Linked DNA regions of Struthio camelus. The protein of the gene in region 1 purifies or fractionates together with the protein of each later gene. This does not show direct contact. Links are inferred from orthologs where the notes say so. Each region holds a gene or a part of one and is shown on either strand. Other genes may lie near its edges.

Region 1 (7,233 bases):
ATATTTCAATACCCTTAAGGAATCTACTTTCCCTTTGTTTTTCAAAAAGCAGTATAAAGCATTAGGTACAAAAAGGCACCAGAGAACTTTTGCAGCTACGGAGCTGCCCAGCGCGTTTGCACGCATGCTCCCAGCATACAGCAGTGCGCTCCTGGCCCACAGTGGCTGTAACTACAGATCCAAGCGAACGATAAAAAAACCCCAACAAAAACCATTTTGCTTCAATCGCAGTGTTATCACTGAGCACTGACACACAAAACGGACATTGGTCATGTGCATTCTGCAATAAGCAGCATGCCTGCTATCACAGGTATTTATCTTAGGTACCACTTAACAGGCCATCCTGAGTACATGAAAGGAAATCCAGATTAGTTCCACTATTATTAATCTGGGTCAACATTAGAGCATATACAGCAGGTATTGATGCTTGTGAGTGTTATTTCAATTTCTAACACCACCACTTGCTTTTGGATATATTTTTTTAATATCTTAATGACTAGGGTGTTACAGCTAAACTAGTTTTCTCTCATCCATATTCAAAGATCTCATTCTAAAGTTTTGGGAAAAGACACAACTGTATTTAAATTTCCATTCAAATATTATATTGATCAGATTTTATGGGGCGATTTTGACATTCTTCTGACAAGAATAACATTTGTGCACCAGCACTATTTCTTTGAGGTATCTCCTCTTTTGGGCAATAGAATGAATCAGGCTGAAATTATGTAGTTTCAAAAAGTATGAATTCCTATGTCATTTGAACTTCCTGTAGCAACAGAATTTTATCTTGTAGCTTGTCAGCACGGCACAGGTTTGTTACAGCATGTTTACTTTCAAAATAATGCCAAATTCTGATGCTGGGATCCTATCGCTTGACCCAGGAGGTAGAGTCTAGACATATGTGGATGGTCCACTACCTGTGGTATCTCATCACTCTCAAATGCAACTTGATTATGTACCACTGACTTACTTTCTTGCTGAAGTAGGGAGCAATAAAGACCAATCAATTAATTCAGGCTTCTTGAAGACTTTGTTCTGCCTTCATCTTTGTCATTGAGCTGCAAGTTCTTCTCATACAGTTATTTACTAACAGAACATACTGAGAATAAACTCTAGCGGGTTTATCACTTGGCTGTTGGCTATCCAGCAATCCTCAAATAACCGGTACCCTCATCATATTATGAGATACAGTATCAAGCACTATAAACAAGATATTCCTCCTCAGAATCTACATATTCTACAGGGCATACGCACCTGAGATTGCATTTCAAAAGACTTAGCACAAGCTCAGCAGAGGGAGTCAGCTTGCTTCCCATCATTTTCAAAGAGCGTAAGAAAAAAAGAAAAGAAGGAAAGAAAAACTGCCTGCATTACATCAACAACAGGTATGAACTTGATTGCTGGAACAAGAGAATCTCTTGACTTTTTTAAGGTTGTGCAACTAGCGCTTTAGAAAGGTATGTTTCCGTCCACAGTCATGAAAGACTAATTCAGTTGTTTTAAGCCATGCAGCCTTTCCAGAAACTATTAATTCCCTTCTCCCGCTTTATATTTAAAAAGAAAGAAAGGGAAAAAAAATCTGCTTTTTTCACTACTGGCAGATTTCCAAGATAAAGACGACTGCACTCTGCCTGGAACAGCAGTCGGGGCCTGCTCTTGAAACTCACAAAAGGGAACACCACACACAGAGAAAAAGCGACGGATCTGATCAGCCAGAAACGTTTTCTCACCCTCTAAACCAGTTTCTCCAAAAAGGAAAAAAGAAAACGGCGAGCCGGCGGCAGCCCGCTCCGCGCCGTTCCCACGCACCGCGGAGCCGGGCGGTCACGCCGCGGCGGGACGAGGGAGGGCCGGCCAGGTCGGGCCGGGAGGGACCGGGATAAATAACTCCTATTTAACCGGCAGAAACAGAAAGAACATGAAGTTTTCCCTGTTTCTACCTTCCTTCCCCCCTCCCCCCGCCCGCCCGCCCAGGTGCGGATCTTTTTGCGGGACGAGCAGCGACGCCAGGTCAAGGCGACCGACCCGACGGCGGGCGGGGGCTGCCGGAGCGGTACTCGCAGGGGGGCGGCGCGGCCGCGCAGCCCCCGCGCCGCTCCGCGGGGTCCGGCCCCGGCGGGGGGCGGCAGCACGGGGCGGTGCGGTGCGGAGCGGGGCCCGGCGGCCGCCCCGCGGCTGAGCCAGGGCGGCCCGGAGCGCGCTCCGCGGAGCGATTGGGCAACGCGGGAAGGGGATTGGGGGGGGGGGAAGAGAAAAGCAAAGGGGGGGGGAAAGGCAAAGGAGGAAAAAAAGTACAACCGATGGGATGTGCCAAGGTTTATTCCCTTTTATTTCCTCCACCCCCACAAAAGAAAATAAGCCTAGAATCAGGAAGTCAGACTGCGTGATCGCTGCTATAGGTTTGCTTTTTTTTTCTTTCTTTCTTCTCCCTCCTCCTCTCTCTCCCTTTTTTTTTTTTTTTTTAAAGGAAAGAAGTTGGGACTTTCCCTGCGCCGCTCCCAAGGGGAGGCAGCGGCGCGCCCGCCCCCGGGGCGCCCCCGGCGCGGCCCGTACCTTTCTTCTCCTCCACGACGGAGCAGTGGGCGACGCGCCCCAGCAGTAGCAGCAGCAGCAGCAGCAGCAGCGGCGGCGGCGGCAGCAGCACCGGGACAGCGGCCCCGCGGGGCCCGGCGGCGGCGGCGGCGCTGCGGCCGCCCATGCTGCGGGACGGCCGCTCCCGCGGTGCGGCGCGGCGCGGTTGGAGCGCACGGAGAAGCTTTCCGCGGAGCTGCCCCGCTCCTGCCGCGGCCGCGCTCAGCCCCGCTCCGCGGCTGCTCCCCGCAGCATGCCGCGCCGTCGAGGGCTGCGCGCACACGTGCGTGCCCGCTGCCTGCCTGCCTGCCTTCCTCTCCTGCTTCCTCCTCCTCCTCCTCGTCGTCCTCGGCAGCGACGGGTGCGCGGGGTGGCGGAGCGGCTGGCGCCGGCTGCGGGACGGGGCGCGCCCGGCTGCGCTCTCCGCCCGGCCGCGGAGCGCAGCGGCTCCCTCTGGGGACGCCGCGGAGGAGGAGGAGGAGGAGGATGGGGCGGGAGCAAGGAGGAGGAGGAGGAACCGGCGGCGCCTTCCCCGCCCAGGTGGGGAAGGGCGGCCCCGCCACCTGTGCCGCGGTGGGGGGGCGAGGGCAGGGGGCGGCCCCGCTCCGCGCCCTTGGCGCTGGCAGCGAGCAGTCGCTCCGCGGAGGAAGTTACTGAGCAAACAGGCTGAGGGACACAAGTGTTCCCCGGGGGCTCCGGCGAAATTCACGGACACGAAGCAAAAGCGCCTATGCGGACTTCTCCTCCCTCCTTCCCCACCCCCCAACCCCGTCCCAGGAGGGCAAAGCACGCTGTTCAGTATTTAGTGGTATATGCTTGTGGTTAGAGCGTCTTGGTTTTAACCCAACACCTTTCCCCAAAACCGGGAGGAAGCAGCGTCTCGTCAGACAGGCGTGTAAATCGGGACGCAGAAGTGGCACTCGTCCCGGCCGGGATCTCCCCGAGTCAAGTCAGTCTGCTGCCACCTCCTGAGTCAACCTCCAGATTTGTTAAATGCTGTTGCTAATTTCTTCATAACGCTCTTGCGAAGACTGAGGTCTTCAGTCACATAGGCAATAGGATAGGAAGCCCAGGAACTGCTATGATTAATTGGGAACTCCAGCACCGAGGTCCGTAATGACACAGGGTTTGGGAGATGATGTGCTAAATGCCTCTGTCTATCACAACGTGTTGGAACACAATAGATTGCAAAAGAGCCACTGAGTGTATCTTGACTTTCCCCGATGATGCATGTTTTGTGCTGCATTACTGTTCTCCTGCCAGGCAACTTCCTCTGCACTATCTTTTCCTGATAGTTTAACTACTTCCTGACCCAACTAGACATAGAAAAACTGTCCCATTTACTTATATTAGCACAAAAAACATGCTTGAGCAGAGGCCTTTAACCATGTGTCCCATCACACCTGTAATGATTTATTAAGATAAACTGGGTTACAACTGAGTTTCTCGCCGTGCAGCTTTTGCATGCTATAGCTGACAATCTGTTTTGATTGTATTTTGTAAATGATGCAAAGAAGTTCTTTGAAGTAAATTCATGCATTGGTAACATGGGAGCAACTCTACTCATGTGATTGGTTTCATGGCTGTAACTGATGCCGGCATTTGATCTATCAATACAACATTCATGCTGTTTCCTTCAAAGATGCTCATACAGTGCAGCCTCATAACTATTACATGTATACAATTGATTTTCATTTATTTGGACAAATAGGAGGGTTTTTAAAAATTACATGCCCAGGAAAATAAATCAGCTTCTCAGGAGGGAGGGCTGCAAAAGCAACCTCAAAAAATGTTAAAGATTGCAGCTTTCATTATAAGGACGTACAATTAAGACACAATAGAAACAAACCTCAAATCAGTGCTGTAGACAAATATTAAATAAAAACATGTGTCTTTAAATATATTATATCAAGACACAACTGTTGAAAGCAATGGAGTTTTTTACATTTGAGAAAGGAAAGTTCAGAGTGATATCACCAGAGTGATAACGGAAAAATGAGCTCAAGACAGGAAAAAAACCCCATCTCTGATGTATGAATTGAATGGAAAAACTTGTCAAAGTCCAGTCCTAACATACTAACGTACAAATATTTTTGCTGAAGAATTTTTCATGCAATTGTGATTCTACCTGCCATTCTGAGCAGGAATCTGTCATACTCACTTTGCCTCCCATCATGAGCTGTCCTTATGTGACTCCATGTAAAACTGAACATGATGGGCAAGGGAAGACTCAGCAAATTCCCCTTTAAATTCTTCCCCACCCTCTAAAAATTCACTATAGGAAAATCTAGTCTGATGCTGGCATTGCAGTACCACTGACGGGGCTGTGCAGCAAGCTGCCATCACTTTTGTCTTCCCACCTGTTTGAGCCCAAATGTGTTATTTTCATGACATTTGTCCTCTACTTGTGAGAGTCACAAGATAACGTAGGGACTGTAAGACCCGAGGACTTGGATGCTTATGATCACGGTCGAGTCTTTCAAGCCTTCTGCTGTTTCCTATTTACACAAGTGAACAATTTCTGGAACAGTTTAAATTTAAATATGACATTTTCCCAAAAAGCTGGTCACGTACCCAGTGATTGCATTTGATATAACTCCTTTGAGGCTAATGTCACTACGCAAATTTGAGCATGGGCATGCAATATTCCTTCGCGTTGCAAAACTTTAAATACCAGCTGCATGTGTGCATGAATCTACGGCCACGAAACAAAGGTCGACCTTTCGACAACTAGCGTTAAATTAATATTACCTAGTGAGAATATCATACTAAACGCAAAATCTTTCTTCGGCTTTTCTGGGACTCACTTGCTTTGTATTGTATACTTATCTTCCAGATATGAAGCATAAACGCACTGACATAGGAAGTAAAGTCCAGCTAAAGAGAAAGTTCCTTCACATGCGGATACTGCTGGATGGGAGAGCAGAACCGCGACTGCTCCCCAGCTGCGGCCCGTGCTGCTGAGCTGGTCTCTCCGCCACGCGCGGAGAGCAGGAGCCAACAGAGGGAGAGCCACTGACTGCCCTACTGGTGGAAAAAGTGGGAAAAGTGGGATCAATTTTCCTGTCCCCCCCTTCCACATTCTCTCAAAACAGAATAAAGTCTCAAAATCCTTTCAAGAGCAAAGTCGTCCCTGCAGCTTGATTTCTTCCTTGAATAAAACCAAAAAAGGATAGATTTTAATTATCCACTGATAAACGGGGCATTTGCCCCTCCAAAATAATTCATAAGCAACTGCTCGCGGATGGCACTGCTGTTCTTTCCTGCGTTTTGCACAAGTGATTTTAAAGGGCAGGCCTCTTCTCGGAAGAAAAGAAATGAGACAGAGCTGAATTAGCAGGGCTTTTAAATCTGGCTTGCTCAGGTTTCATTTGCATGGTATTTGAGATTGCGGACATTGTAGTTTGCGTTGCAGTTTGTATTCTAAGAGTCCTCACTGAGGTAATAATTCTTTGAGCTTTATGGCATGACATGTTCAAAACATTGCATAAACATTAACTAATTTATCTTCACAAATCTCCTGTAAGGCAGGTTAGTATCTATCATTTCCATTTTATAGATGTAAAATAATTTGCCTTGGGCGGAGTATTAGTGGCAGTACTGGGGTTATCACTCAAGAGCTGCTTATTCCAGCTATTGTGTTTGAATCTCCCCAGATCAGGCTGCTGCTAGAGAACTTCCCTGATGAAAATGTAGATTTTTTTTGTTTAAATACTCCGATTCTTGCTCTCTTCCACTGTTTGTTTGTACAGTGGTGTGTAAAGGACGAGACAGATACACACACGGATGCTGGAGTTAAACCTTAATTACAGTAAGTTCCACCATCAATCCATCCAGTATTTCAACACGTGACCGTAGCATTATCTCAGGAGAGTTCTTACACTTTTATTATTATTATCATTTTTACACCCAGGTTTTACCTGTCACCTCAGTTTCCTTAGTCAGTGTCAATGCTGCATTTTCCAGGGAAGCTTTGCCTCACTCAGAAACAGATTTTTAAATGTTTTAAACTGTGAATAGGGATCTGCAGCACCAGCTTATTCACTAACTGAGGTAGGCAACAGAAAAGTAAATATAAGAATAACAATTGGCACACGTGGAGTAAACGATCTGCAAGATCTTTTCTACTAAGCATCACAGTAGCTTCCTGTGTAGAAACAAGCTTCTGGCTTATTTCTGTACTTTGCTAGGGTGACTTACACGGATACTACTGTGCTGCCTTAACTCTCTTTCTCAACCACAAATCATACATCTCTATATGACTGCATGGAATAAGATCTGAACATGCTGTCGGTACATCTCATGTCACTGGAAGCATCGCTACCATTGCCAGTTCACACCGCATAATTTTCCAAGACGGGCAACTATTAATAGCAGGTGCCCGGCTATTAACACAAATACTGCTGCTTGCGTTACTCTCACTGTACATCCTGCACTGGCAAACAAGGAGCTTTATACCTCTGCTCATCTAATTCCTGCCCCAGCCAAGCAGGCTGCCATAGCCCAGGTGCTCCTAGACATAACGAAAGAGAAGGGACATGGGGCATGGGGACATGCCCCAAGCTTTGCTTGGGGGAGAGGAAGAGTGCCCCAAAGCTGAGCTCAGGTGTGCCGGGCACACGTATCCTGCCTGGTCCCCTGCCCACTCAACTCAGCTCTTGT
Region 2 (7,158 bases), on another chromosome or scaffold:
GCGTTGTCCAATGGCCAGAGAAAGAAAACAGCCTCAGATTCGGTCACGGCAGGACTCCTAGGGAAACTGAAACACTGACCTGCCCAGAGTTAAATTAAGACCTTCCCTGCCCAAGTCTGTGGAAAGTCCTCTGGGAGCTCTCCACAGTCCACACTGAAGAAACGCCAGCTGCTGATGCCCTCCGAGAGCCACGTTCATGCATCCCCTCCTGTGAAGGCACACTTTGTCCTGTCTGTTACCAAACAAACCTCTGCCCTGCACAACCGGTGACAACAGCGATTGCTCAACCATCCCAAGGGGCCAAGAAGGATCTTCTGCCCTTTAGCTCATGGTGCAGTGCTAGGCGGCAGGGCAGGGCAATCCAACTGCTACCACGGCACACAGACGACATCCCAGAGTCCAGCATGCCAAACCCTGGCACACGGAGCCAGGAAATCTTACCCTCGGGCAGCATGTGCTGCTCTGCCCGTGCCCTTGGTAACAGACTCCTGGCCCAGCCAGCAGCAGAGTTGGCTGCGAGCCGAGACCTCGACCCTGGGAACGGCTGCTGGGGCCAATGTGGATGTCAGCGTAAGCCTGGCAAGGCAGGATTTATTTTTAAACCGGTCTTGCGCTACCTGAAGAGTTCACCAGGTTGAAACAAGCCTCGTAGTGGTGAAACCAACTGAGCGTTGGACCTGTGGTCCACTAACTGAGGGGTTCGCTGCTTGCTTTAAATCCACTAAGAGGCTGACTGCGTCCAGCCTGCCACGTCCCGGGCACGGGGGAAAGCTCTCAGTGAGTGACATTGGCATGTTGACATGCACTGACATGCATCTCCTTCCCAGGGAGCCCACGAGCGACTTTGGCAGCTGCACAGGTCCACGCATGACCGTCCTGCAAGTGCTTTTCAACACTCCTGGAGTAAACCCAATCTAATTAAGGGAGCATAATTAAGCCCCAAGTGGCTCCACGGTGCTTCTAATTGCAGTCAGACATCCCAGTGACACACAACTTGTTACCAGCCTTCCAGCATAGCTGAGAAGGCTGCTAAGGAAAGGCGGAGGAAGGATCTTGCTTTCACATCCACTTCTCCATATACCCCCAGTGCTAATCATGACAAGACGACGTTCCGATTGAGCCCAAACTTCTCCTGAGGAATCCATGTCACGCAGATTACCTCTGCGTGGCGGGGATTTAGGATGAGCAGGCTCCAAGGGGATGCTCCACAGCTGGGTTAAGGTGGGATCTCCTCTTCCATAGGGACTAAGAGGACAGTCGAAGGAGAAAGGCAGAGAGGCCAAATCCTGAGGGAAGCTCCCTTTGCAAAGTTGGCTTCAGCTGGGATCACTGCAGGCCGAGGGGCTCCCAGGACCCAGGTGGGGTAAGAGTTATCCACAGAAAGCCTCTCCCCGGCAGAGGAGAATCGGGTTCTCAATGGCAGCTGTGGGCTGCCCACAGCCCAGCACCTACTCCCTGCACGCACAGGGGCTCAGCACCACTCACCGACTCTGCCTGCTGCCTCTGACAGCTTCTGAAACTGCTCCACCAAGTGCGGCTCCTCCTCAGCCAGCTCCTTCATGGCTTTCTCAAACTCCGCTGTGGCCTGCGAGGCCAGTTCGCTGTCAAACAAATCCTGGAAAAACTTCTCCTGGGAGGCGAAGAGTGATTCCTGAGGGAAACGGGCACAGTCAGAGCTGTGCCCTGCTCTGGATGCCTGGAAGGGCTGCAGCTGGCAGCGACAGAGCAGCCCCAGGAGATGCTGCTTTCCAACCTCGCAGAGGGCAAATACTGGCCCGTGGCAAAAACAGCCCTGCAACAGGGCTCTTCCCCCCCTTGCCCAGCTCCTCCAGCCCCGGCAAGCCGGCAGCGGCAGAGGGAGGCCACGTCCTGATGGCGTCGCACCTTGGCTGCATCGCTGGGAGACTTTTCGGAGTGGCCAGGGTCTGTGGGGGCAGGCGGCGGTGGGGCGGTGGGCCTGGCCTTCTCGAAGTCGTCGAGGGCACCTGGGGACAGGAGCGGGGCCGGGCCAGGTAAGCGGGGATCCGGCCGAGGACGGTGCGACAAGGGGCAGGGACGGGGGGTCCCGGCTTGTAGCACCCCAAGCAGGGGTTGACCCTGAAACTCCTGGCCCCAGGCAGCATCGGGGTGGGATGCCTGTGGGACAGGCGAGGGGAGGTCTCCCAGCCCCGGGGCATGGCACCACCGCTCTTGGGGCAGCAGAAAGTTGCTGTGGGGTGCGGGCCGCTGCTGCCCCCGACCACCCCCCCCGGCCCCGCTGCTGCCCCCGACCACCCCCCCCCCGGCCCCGCTGCTGCCCCCGACCACCCCCCCCGGCCCCGCTGCTGCCCCCGACCACCCCCCCCCCGGCCCCGCTGCTGCCCCCGACCACCCCCCCCCGGCCCCGCTGCTGCTGCCCCCGACCACCCCCCCCCGGCCCCGCTGCTGTTGCCCCCGACCACCCCCCCCGGCCCCGCTGCTGCTGCCCCCGACCACCCCCCCCGGCCCCGCTGCTGCTGCCCCCGACCACCCCCCCCCGGCCCCGCTGCTGCTGCCCCCGACCACCCCCCCCCGGCCCCGCTGCTGCTGCCCCCGACCACCCCCCCCCCCGGGCCCGCTGCTCCCTCCAACCACCCCCCCCCGGCCCCGCTGCTCCCTCCAACCACCCCCCCCGGCCCCGCTGCTGCCCCCCCCACGACCACCCCCCCGGGCCCTGCTGCTGCTGCCCCCCCCCGACCACCCCCCCCCGGCCCCGCTGCTGCCGCCCCCGACCACCCCCCCCCGGCCCCGCTGCTGCCCCCCCCACGACCACCTCCCCCCCCGGCCCCGCTGCTGCCCCCCCCGACCACCCCCCCAGCCCTAGGCTCCCCCCGGCCCGGGCGCTGCCCCGGCCCCGCTCACTGTCGAGCAACTCGTCCAGCTCCTGGTCCGGGCCCGGGCCCGGCTCCGCCGCCATCTTCGCGCCGCTCCGCCTCCGCCGGAGGGCGGGGCCCGGCCTAGCAAGCTCCGCCCCTGAGGCCCCACGCCCCGCCCCACGCCCCGCCCCACGCCCCGCCCCACGCCCCGCCCCACGCCGTTCCGCGAGCGCCCCCCAGGCGGCGCCGCAGCGCGCTCCCGGCCAGGACGCCCCGCTGCCCCCTGGCGGCGCCGCGCGGAGCTGCAGCGCGGGGCTCCGGCCGGGCCGCGCCGCGCCGCGAGGGGCTTCGCGGTGTCCCCCCCCCCCAACCCCCCCCCATCCCCGGGCAGCCCGTGAGCCGGGCAGCCGCGTCCCCCCCCCCCCCCACCCCGGGCACCGGGGCGCCCGTGAGCCGGGCAGCCGCGTCCCCCCCCCCCATCCCCGGGCAGCCCGTGAGCCGGGCAGCCGCGTCCCCCCCCCCCCCCCCCCCATCCCCGGGCAGCCCGTGAGCCGGGCAGCCGCGTCCCCCCCCCCCATCCCCGGGCAGCCCGTGAGCCGGGCAGCCGCGTCCCCCCCCCCAACCCCGGGCAGCCCGTGAGCCGGGCAGCCGCGTCCCCCCCCCCCCCCCATCCCCGGGCAGCCCGTGAGCCGGGCAGCCGCGTCCCCCCCCGGGCACCGGGGCGCCGCATCCCCTGTGAACGGCAAAGCCACGTCCCCCCCCGAACTGGGGAGCCCCAGGGAGCCGCATCCCCCCGTGAACCGGGCACCCGGGCAGCCGCGTCCCCCCGGCTGGCGAAGCCGCTCCCGCCGGCCCCGGGGGGAGCCGGGGGGGCTGGCAGGACGGGGGGAGCACGTCCCCACAGCAGCTGCCGGGGCCTGGCAAGCTGTGCCCAGCTGTGCCCAGCTGTGCCCATCACGGCTGCCCGCGGCTGCCGCTGCTCGGGGCTGCGGTGGGTTGCCCTCGCTGGGCCGGGCCTGCCCCGTGGGCTTCCTGGGGGAGAGGAAGCCCAGCGGGGTGGGCTGTGGCGTTTCCTGCCTTTGTCTCCCTGCCGCGGGGACCGCAGGGGAAGGACCTTTCCTTCCCCTCCAAGAAAAGGTGCGGGAAGAGGTCTCGGGCTGGGATGCTCGAGCTCTACCCAGCGCCACTCCGCTCGCCATGGCTCTCGCTCTGCTCCTGCCTCTGCTGAGTAAGTGCCATCCCGCTCCCCGCCCGGCCCAAAGCGGCCCTTCGTGGTGCCGCCGAGCTCTCACCGCTCCCCCCGTCTCTCCGCAGCCTGGCTCCAGACCCTGCCGCAGCCCGGGCACCCCGCAGGTAAGGAGGGTGCCGTCCGCCGCGGGGAGCCGCTCGCCCGCCCGCCCGCCCCGCTGCCCGGAGCCTTTCCCTTGCAGACCTCCTGCCAGCCCCTTTCCTGAGCATCCTCCCATCGCACTTCAGCCTGCACGGCTCCAGCCAGGACAAGCTCGTCACCCTGCGGTGCCTGGCTCCCATCACCTCGTCCGTGACCATGTACCGATTTTACTGGCGGTCACAGCCCCAGGGCCCCAAGAAGAACTTCAGGAACGCCTCGTCGCCCACCATCGAAGACAGGGCGCTGCCCGGCGCCTATTCCTGCGTGTACCTGTCGTACAGCAGCCAGGGCTTGACTTCGTCCCTCGAGAGCCCCCCGGCCCTCTTCCCGCCGCCGTGGGACCACCTCCCCCCCGTAGGTTGGGGCTGGCTGGGTGCTGAGCGCCGTGGCAGTGGGTGTCACCGGGCTGGGGCTCCCCCGTCCTTTCCCCTCTCCCCGGCACCTCTGCCCTGGCTGGAGGAGAGGCAGAGGATGGAGTTAATCCTTGGAAAAGCTGGGGGGCACATAAGCCCCTGGCTTTGAGTCCTTCGCTTACCCTGACCCCCACTTTGTCCCCCTGCTCAAATGCCCTCGGGGCTCCCAACGAAGGGCCCCGGGGTGCAGGTACCCAAGGACAACGGGACCGCCGGGGACAGCTGCTCGTCGACTCCAGGCTGCTCCTCGACGGGCACCAGAGGAGGTGAGGGGCCACCACGGAGACCTCCCGTCCCCTCCCCGGAGAGGTCCCCCGTGACGGCCGCGCTCTCTCCCCAGGGCCAGGCCGATCGGCCTCCTGCCGCTGGCACCCGAGGATGAGCCCGGTCTTCGTCGCTGCCGCCCTTGGTTTCCTCCTGCCCCGCTGCTGCTGGTAGCGGCGAGGTAAGCGGCTCCCTCGGGCACCGCATGTGTGAGCATGCACGCTCGTGTGTGTTTGCACTCTCACGGAACAAAACCCAGGCTGTGACCTTGGCCCCACGCCACCGACGGAAATTTGTGTGACTTTACCCTGCGGCGTACCATGCATTTAGCTTTTTACTGGCTCTAGACACATCGGCTCCTTCAAAAAACAAGGGAGCACCTGCAGCAGCGATGCACACGTGTGAAGCGGTTGCTGCTCTGAAGCGGATGGGCAAAACCCCCTCCGCAGATGCGTCGCGTTGGGGCAGTGCTGCCGCAGGAGCCCTTCCCTCCCCTTCCGGCTGCCGCCCTTTCCCTTCGGGGGGGAAACGTTTGGTTTAAAACCTCGTTTGCTTTTTTTCCCCTACCCCTGCCAGACTTCTGCGCTCGCCGCCTGTCGACCCGCCATCACCACCCGGCCACGCGTCTACGGCTTAGCGAGAAACACCGACCGGCAGCGGCTTTCAGAGGTGCTCAGGAAACACACGGCTCCAACCGGACCCTCAGCTTTCTCACATATGTTAATATAATAACCCATTGCATATATATATTCTTTATACAATAACCTGTTGCATAGGTATATCTGATACACAGTAACCCATTGCATAGGTATACGGTATCTATATTAACCTGTTGCAAAGTATTAGCCTGAAAAAGAGGTACTGGAGCCTGCAAGGACGGGGTGGCAAGCCCTGGATCGCTCCATGCCCTGTGCTGCGGAGCCGCAGCGAGGGCTGCGAGCAGGGCGAGCTGTCTGCTTCCAATAAACCTGCTGAGCAAAGAAAAGAGACTGGATTGACCCCTCCAGCAGCACGGTCAGGCTGTCTGCCCGTGCACCCGTGTCCCACGGGGTGACTGTCCCCGCTGGCCCCAGGGGCAGCCGCGGGAACCGCAGAGGGGGAGCCTGGGGGCTCTCCTTCTTTTTCACTGTTTGCTGAGAATCGGGGGCTGCACAACACAGCTCGCTTCAGTTCTCACCAGATCATTTGCTTATCAAAGCATCTGCAAGTGATCAGACACACGTGGGTGACAGAGGACATGTTACGGTCACTGCGCACGACCCGGCAGAGCCGGTGCTGGGAACCTGTCCAAGAGGTGCTGCATCACTCAGAGACCGTTTCGCCCAGCTGCCCAGCCCGGAGATGGGGTTAGCAGCTCCAAACCCTCTGTCGGCTCCTGTCGCCCCTTGGCTCAATGCTGGCCACGTGCGGGAAGACCTGAGCACCCGGCCCCCTGCTGCCGCCAGCCACATCTCTGCGCCGGCTCGGTGGCGACAAGCAGCTGGCACCCACAAAGGCCCATCCCGAGCCCCTGGGTGCTGCTCGCTGTGTTGTCCTGGCCACTGAGGATGGGGGAAATGCCCCAGGGGGGGGAGCACAAGCCACTTCCTTTTCCTTTTCTCCAAATAGCAGTTATGCAAAGGGGAGGTGGCCCAGCGTCAGCAGCCGGCCGGGCGAGTCGGAGCCGGCCGGGATGGCGAGGAGCGCGGCTCTGCTCCTCTGGGGTAAGTCCTGGCGGGATCGGGGCCGGAGGCCGGGGGAGACGAGGCGTCCGGCGGGGCCACGCGCGCCCGCGGGGCGACGGGTGCTGGAGAGGAGAGCGCGGGCGGAAACCCTGCTCCCGCACCTCGCCGCCGCACCAGCCCGCTGGCGGTCCCGAGCGCCGCGGCGGCGGTGAGCGCGCTCTCCTTCTGGCCTCCTCGTCCCCTCGCCGGCCTTCCCCGTCCCCGGGCACAAGCTCGAGGCGCAAACGGGACGCGGTGCCACCCGGCGGAGCCGGCGCTTAGGTGCCGAGGCGGCGAGGAGGCTGCAAAGAGGAGCTGGGCGCAGGGCCGGGGCCCCAGCCCCCCTGCCCCGCGGCCCCTCCGGCAGCCCCCTCCCCTCCGCGCTCGGAGAGGGGCTGTGGCTGCCTGCTGGGCGCAAAGCCGGAGTCGGGGTCTGGCCGTTCCCGGCTGCCCTGCCCGCGGTCGGGCGCCCGGGCTGCCCCCTCTCCCGCGCCGCCGGCGGGCAGACGAGCCCCGAGCGGAGCGGGCCGGCGGGGCGGCGAGCCGTGCCGACC

The links. Proteins that work in one complex are often made in the same cells at the same time.
Region 2: the proteins of EGFR (region 1) and PEX19 purify together in Homo sapiens (co-immunoprecipitation; 3 studies listed by BioGRID and IntAct, with this or other methods). This does not show direct contact. The link is inferred for Struthio camelus from reciprocal best matches to the Homo sapiens genes EGFR and PEX19.

What each region holds. Positions count from the first base shown.
Region 1 is NC_090943.1:60,447,845-60,455,077, forward strand, and holds the start of EGFR (epidermal growth factor receptor), read right to left. Parts: upstream 3,010-7,233; 5' UTR 2,699-3,009; coding exon 2,554-2,698; intron 1-2,553. UniProt on the Homo sapiens protein: Receptor tyrosine kinase binding ligands of the EGF family and activating several signaling cascades to convert extracellular cues into appropriate cellular responses.
Region 2 is NC_090971.1:621,052-628,209, forward strand, and holds the start of PEX19 (peroxisomal biogenesis factor 19), read right to left. Parts: upstream 3,004-7,158; 5' UTR 2,936-3,003; coding exon 2,881-2,935; intron 1,986-2,880; coding exon 1,885-1,985; intron 1,652-1,884; coding exon 1,486-1,651; intron 1-1,485. Other genes in the region: Fc receptor-like protein 4, read left to right, coding at 6,243-6,247, 6,510-6,604. UniProt on the Homo sapiens protein: Necessary for early peroxisomal biogenesis. Acts both as a cytosolic chaperone and as an import receptor for peroxisomal membrane proteins (PMPs).